Linked DNA regions of Drosophila melanogaster. The protein of the gene in region 1 purifies or fractionates together with the protein of each later gene. This does not show direct contact. Each region holds a gene or a part of one and is shown in the gene's direction. Other genes may lie near its edges.

What was found.
Region 2: the proteins of Sf3b6 (region 1) and Sf3b5 purify together in Drosophila melanogaster (affinity purification with mass spectrometry; 2 studies listed by BioGRID). This does not show direct contact.

The regions. Positions count from the first base shown.
Region 1 is NT_037436.4:6,191,346-6,195,171, reverse strand, and holds Sf3b6 (splicing factor 3b subunit 6), read left to right. Parts: upstream 1-1,992; 5' UTR 1,993-2,189; coding exon 2,190-2,207; intron 2,208-2,277; coding exon 2,278-2,396; intron 2,397-2,462; coding exon 2,463-2,691; 3' UTR 2,692-3,048; downstream 3,049-3,826. Other genes in the region: Tnpo (transportin), read right to left, coding at 1-199, 283-954, 1,022-1,120; CG7386 (uncharacterized protein), read right to left, coding at 3,312-3,826. UniProt on the Drosophila melanogaster protein: Involved in pre-mRNA splicing as a component of the splicing factor SF3B complex. SF3B complex is required for 'A' complex assembly formed by the stable binding of U2 snRNP to the branchpoint sequence (BPS) in pre-mRNA.
Region 2 is NT_033777.3:9,014,259-9,017,399, reverse strand, and holds Sf3b5 (splicing factor 3b subunit 5), read left to right. Parts: upstream 1-2,058; 5' UTR 2,059-2,135; coding exon 2,136-2,393; 3' UTR 2,394-2,428; downstream 2,429-3,141. Other genes in the region: CG11986 (uncharacterized protein), read right to left, coding at 679-1,065, 1,132-1,831, 1,881-1,900. UniProt on the Drosophila melanogaster protein: Involved in pre-mRNA splicing as component of spliceosome. As part of the spliceosome complex, plays a role in the regulation of spermatogonial differentiation.

The DNA.
Region 1 (3,826 bases):
CATCCTCCTCAACGTTTCCCTTGAGGAGAATTATGTCGACCTCTGAGTACCGCATGCCTCGTACAAGAACTGGCGCTAATTGAGCAAGATAAGGGGCAAGCACGTCCTTGCAGATGCTTTGCTCGGCCAGTGAAAGCCAGAACTCGGATGCTTCCAGGGCCACACCCTCATCGGTGTCCTGGGTGCGCAACAGCATGTACTAAAATTCGTTAAATAAGATATTTAAACAAAAATTTATCAGAATAATTATTATTAATTATATATTTTATTTTAAAGTTATACCTCAATAATCTGCGACATGTGCGGCATCAGACGGTCCATTCGCACCTCCAGCAGCATGACCAATCCGTGGCACACGTTTTTGCGCACCTCGTGGTCCTCATCTGATGACAGGTGAAAGAGGTTCTCAATGAAGCTGTCTATGTTTAGCATCAGAGCCTGTGATCTGTTGATGATGAACTGGTTGATGCAGGCAATGGCGTGGGAGCGGATCTTTGGACTGCTGTGCTTGAAGTACTCCAGGAACTTTGGAATCATTATGTTTAATGGCCTGTTGAGCGCTGCGGAATCCAAAATCTCGGCAGAGTCCTCGCAAATTTTCTGCAGGGCACTGAATGCGCCTTCGCACACATTATAGTCCTGGTTGTCGAGCATTTCGCAGAGAGATGGAAGCAGCTGCGGCCAGTTGTGCAGACCGCCATTGCTGGCGATGGTGGTAATCAGGATGCCCACGGTGGCACGGATCAGGGGCGAAGCGTCGCCCACTGCCTGCAGGCACTCGTGTTTGATATACTCCACGATCTCCGGCTGCAGAGTGGTGCCGTGCATGCGGATGTTGTTCTTGAGGATTAGGCCGCTGAGTGATCTCGTGGGCTCGTCCTCTGTCTTCAGTTTCGTCAGCACATAGATAAGATAGTTGTTGAAGTCGGGGTAGCGATTGAATTCCTCCAGTTTCTGTTGAGAAGGACACAATATGTGCATGCAGTTCGAGGAACCGTACCTGGTAGAAGTTATTACTCACCATCTGTACGGCCATTTGAGTGGCTGTGTCCGGTGACTGCGACTCCTTGAGGATCGCTATGATCTGCTGCAGACCTTCTCCCTGTGGTTCCCACGTCATTTTGCTGCTGCAAGGGAAGATCGCAAGGGTTTTAGGTTTGATTAGTGAATTCGGAATTAGAAATTAGGGTTAATGGCCTCGCAAAGGGTAGCAAATGGGGGAGAAAGAGAGAGCACGAGAGACACTCTGTTCGAGGCCACTCACGCACACCAGGGCATTTTGCACCCACACCCGCAAACAGACATCTGCTGTTGTGAAATTTACGTTTTCCGTTCGATGTTTCCTTGGCACTTAATGGTTTTACGGCGGAAGGCGGGAGTTGAAAGCCCTGCCCCGAGAGTAACGTGCGATTTTCTGCCCACAACCCCAGACAAAAAAAAACACACGAATAGAACTCGCCTGCCTCCGCCATATTTCGTGACATCGGGCGTGCGGTTGAAAACGCTTTTCCGAGATAAGTTCTGCGTTGTCCGCATACCCCCTACTTACCTTTGGGTGTTGGCTGTGCTTTAAAACTATTTTAGTTGGAATTTTCTTAAGATTTTGCGTAAATTGTCTCTTTTTTCACCTTTTCTTTGCACAATTAGCGAGATGTATACAGTGTGACCGTGCAAGAGAGAGGGAGTATGCTATTTTTTATTAGAGATGGCAACGTGTCGTCACGGGTTTTAAAATTATATTTAATGTAGTTGATTTTTTAATTTATTGTGCTTAATTTAATATTTTTAAGCAGCTTAAAATGTTTGAATCACTCTGATATATAATTTCCGAACAACAAATTATTTTATTGCCAAAATGAAAAAAAATGAATATTAAATCAAATTTTGCAGTCCAAAGCTGCTCCGATGTAACGAACTTCCTCTCACATATGTATCTAAGTGCTGCTGCACGGTCACACTCGATACGGCTCTCGAAATGCGTCCACACTCTCGCCATTTAGAGTGCCCACATTCGCCACCCTGTTCAATTTTGTTTGGGTTTGAGGCCAGACAGAGGAGTCATTAATTTTAAACAAAGGACCACGCTTCAGGACATTCATCCCGGGTCAGACAAAGCCGCCACACACTTTCCTCGAGGCCGAGTGAAAGTTTCTCGCCTTGTCGCCGCTTAACATCCGAAGCGACCGGACATGAACAAGCGCAACCATGTGAGCAGAAAACCTACGGCTCCACACACAAAGCAAATGTATTGAGTGAAAAGTGCTATTTCTTTTGCAGATCCGCCTGCCGCCAGAGGTGAATCGGCTATTGTACGTGCGGAACCTGCCGTACAAAATCACCTCGGACGAGATGTACGACATATTCGGCAAATTTGGAGCCATTCGACAGATACGCGTGTAAGATTGAAGATGATAATGCTATTCGCCGTGAATCCTCTCAATCAATTTGTGTATCTTTTGCAGAGGCAACACTCCGGAAACGCGTGGCACCGCCTTTGTCGTCTACGAGGACATTTTCGATGCCAAGAACGCCTGTGACCATTTATCGGGTTTTAATGTGTGCAATCGCTATCTGGTGGTGCTCTACTACCAATCCAACAAGGCCTTCAAGCGCGTGGACATGGACAAGAAACAGGAGGAACTGAACAACATTAAGGCCAAGTACAATCTGAAGACGCCTGAAGCTCCTTAGAACCCACACTTGGTGCGGCAGGCGGTGATGGGGCATAGCCAGACATTGGGCCCCACCAGATGACGCCCCCACTTCCATCGACCATTTTCCATTGTTTAGGGAACTTCTTGCTCTGCTTATGTGTATACCAAATTTTTGCTATCTACTTGTAGATTTTTTTGATCGCATTTTGTATCATTTGAATCTAATCATTATCATCCATCCATCACTCCATCTATCATATAAACGGCCGGATATCGCGGAACGCAGACATTTGCGCCCGGTTCCGACTGTTTGCAATCATTTGACGACATTAAGACACTCTCTCATCAAAATAACAAGCAAGTGAAAGTAAAAATAAAAAAAAATTGAAAAACTAGAATCGTTTGTTTCGATTTATGACCAATTTTTTTTAAAACTAGTTTTAGTCCAAAACCATTTGTAGTTATTCTAAAGTGTGTCATTTGGGTCAAGTTTATTTAACAACTTAGAAATAGGATAACAAGTAATAGTTAAATATTAACCAACAATAAAAATTCCCACTATTATGGGAAGTCTTTTGCCCTATGTAATCGTAAACTATTCTGCGATTAGGGTTCCTCCTTAAGGTCAGGACCAGTTTGGCTAGCTGCCGCTGCCTATTACTTTTCGTATGTGTCTTGCTGCTTCTCCAGTGCCAGTTGGTTCTTCAAATCCTTGAGCTCCTTCTTGGCGACCTTCGCAATTTCCTGCCGTAGTGCCTCAACCTTTTGTTTACGGTCATTTCTCTCCCCCAGAGGCTTCGCCGGCTTTTCGTCATGGACTTTTTGGTGTCGGATGAGCGCCGCTACCTGGCGAAAGCGATTGCCACACGTCTTACACTCGAAGGGCTTTTCGCCAGTGTGTATCCACTCGTGTTGCTTCACGGATTGCGAGTTGGCAAAGCGACGGGAGCAGAAACGGCACTCAAAGTCCTTGACTTTTTCGTGGACGCTCTTGTAGTGGCGCTTCATGTTGCCTATGCTCTTGAATCCCTGACTGCAGCTGGGACACAAGTACATACCCTCCTTTTGCACAAACTGAATCTCGTCTGTGGGATTCACTGCGGTCCCTGCCAATAGGGCCACATCAACTTGCTCTACGCGGCGGGGATTCTTAGGAATGCTGGCTACGGATT
Region 2 (3,141 bases), on another chromosome or scaffold:
CATGAATTCTAAACTTTCTCATCGATTATATAGGATTAAGTTCATATGTGGACACGCTGTGTGCAGAGTATTCATTTGTATTTGTCATTGAGCATTTTAAAGTTCATACAACGTATAAATATATAAATAATTAAACAATTCGTAGCCTAATATACCACAAATTGATAGTTGTAAGCAACTCAGCAAGTGTACCACTTCCACGCTTTTCCCGCGAACAACATTGACACCATTTCCCATTAATTTTCGCTCATTTTTCGCCAAGGCAATCAGACGTAGACGAGCAAACAATATACGGTCGATATGTACACTTTACATGCTTTATGTGCAGCTTTTCATTTTGTTTTAATTGCATTTTATGCCGCGACAACAAAAACTTCCAAGCTCAATACAGTGGCGCTCAAAATTGAATCGCACTCGCAGAAATGAGACCATTTAATTAATTACGTCAAGTTCAAACATAACATTAGTTAGTTAACCTCACTTCGAGAGAACAAATTCTAAACAACTTTTTAGTCGCTAAGTCCCAACATTTGTAAGTAAGCTCACCACAACGATGATAATGCTTAAAACTTTGGTTATTGAGAATAAAAATTTTGGTTTTTACTGAAAATAAACTTAATGTACTACAAACTATGGAACTTTAGTTACTGATGAGGTTTATCTTTTGCCCGATTTCATCTAGCTGCCGCTGCTCTGCGGGGGAGCTGCCGTACGATTCCTCTTAAAGTCCCTGAATCTGGGTCGCTTGGCGGGCCTCTCTACGGGTGAGCCGTCAGCGGAGGTCCCTCCCATGGTCGTAGCTTCTTTTTCCTGATCCTCATCGTCGCTCTGTTTTGCTTTGATTTGATCTTCCCGCTTCTTACGGGCATTCAGCCAAGACATCATCGTTTTGTTCATCGGTGGCTTTGCGGGCTTAGCCGCCAATTCGATCGGCTTGTTGCACTCCTCGCTTTTGTTTCGCGAGTTGTTTACCAGCTTGGTAACACGATGCCACTGCAGTTCGGTAGCCGGACGCAATGTAGCCAAGGCCTCCTTGTCGCTAACTCGCTTAAAGTCCAGCCAATCCTAGAATATGCGAGGATGGGTAAATTGGACCTGGATTAACGAAGGATTAACAAATGCTTTACTCACATTCATCTGCTGCTCGGTTTCCAGGATCGCTGGCATGCGGTAGTGCATCCAGGACATAATTTTGCTGGACTGGAAGGTGATAATACTGTAGCTGTACATCTTGTCGCCACTTTCATCCTCCCAGACGTCAAAAAGTCCAGCCATTCGCAAAAGCTTCACATCCTGGGGCGACCATGTATTCTTGTCGTAGATCTTCACATCCGCCGCCTGGGGTACGAATACCAGGTAAGCCTCACGCTCCGATGGCTTCTTCGCAGGTCCAGCCGTCTGCCACTCATAGAATCCTTCGCAAATAACTACACACCGCTGACCTCGCTTGAAGGGACCGCGATAGAGCTTGGAGTCCATCAGGTGTTCCAGACGGCAATTGTTGGTGGTAAGGCCATGCCGCCGATAGTCACCCTTGTGCCAAAAGGGAATCATGCCCCACATCATGGGCGTTACCACGCGGGCGCACTCTTGATCCTCGGCGTCTGAAAAATGAGCTGCGGACACGATCACGGGCGTAATATCAGTAGGGGCTATGTTGTAGGAGGCCTGGTAGCGTCTACCCAGGTTGTATTCCGCCCTCCACTCGGGAGTCTCCATTTCGGATCCTTCCCCATCTTTCATATCATCTTTCTCTTTGAAATCCGGCTCCTTTCGAGTAGATTTTTTTGGATATTTACAGGCACAAATTACCTGATCAGGGTCTAGAGTTCTGAAGAGGCGTTTAATAGAAATGGTGAAAGAAAAAATTATATACCTACAGACAGGTGCGTCCACACATTGCTTATCAAAGTACTTGATAAATGAATAATTTATAAATGACAGCGAAATGTAAACAAATATTACGATTTTAAATACCAAGTTTGCCGCCTGTGTACTAAAATACCAAAGTGTCATGTACTAAAGTAATAAAAATACCAACATACAAAATTTCTGGCCACACCAAGACGCAAACAACAAAATAACACACTGCACATTAACTATTCCTCGCCTAATACTGAAACAACTTAAGCAAAATGGGTGAACGCTACAATATCCACAGCCAGCTGGAGCATCTACAAAGCAAGTACATCGGAACAGGACACGCGGATACCACAAAGTTCGAGTGGCTAACAAATCAACATCGCGACTCCTTGGCCAGCTACATGGGTCACTACGATATTCTCAACTACTTTGCCATAGCGGAAAATGAATCGAAGGCACGAGTGCGATTTAATCTGATGGAGCGAATGCTGCAGCCATGTGGGCCACCACCAGAAAAGCTAGAGGATTAAGAAAAACTATTTTAATAATAAAGAAAATAATTGACAAGACAATGTAATTTTCCAAGGGTGGATTTTCGGATAAATTCCAACTTCTGTAGTTATCGACATTCGGTATTTTGCGCTCAAGCGGCAAACGGTCGCACTGCAGGTCAGGAAAAGCTTTTCACTCGATATAATATAACTTATTTTCGTTTCAATTGTTCATTTTCGAGGTCTAGTGTTATAAAGTTATCGTAAAGTAGCCAATGCCGCACCAAAGTAAAGTACGTTGTCGTGTTATCCCCAAAATAGAACGAATCAATAACTTATCAAATCCCTAACGAAATCGGTGTGAAGCAAAACGGTAAAACTGCAATACAGCAGCCCCACAACAACAATAACACATCGCGAGCGGAGCATCTTGTGCGAAATATCGCGGCGAACAAAAGAGATCAGATCCCAGGCGCAATTTGCAATTGCGTAGAACAGAATACACATATTGGTGTCTGCACATAGACACATAGCACACCAGTGCAAAATGCTTGTGTATATGTCAAGATGGGTGTACGAAAATTGCGCGCCGATGAACAATGTGCCGAAAAACAAGAGCAAGATACAGACAACGCATTAGCATATAAATAGTGACAAAACTAAAACAGACCTACTGTTATTTCCCAGCTGCCCAAATCAGCCTGTCTGCCCAAAGTTCTTGCAAAAGCTCTTCTTAACCAAATGGGGACCGCGTCTATTTGTACGGCCGCCACTGTGCCATGACTGG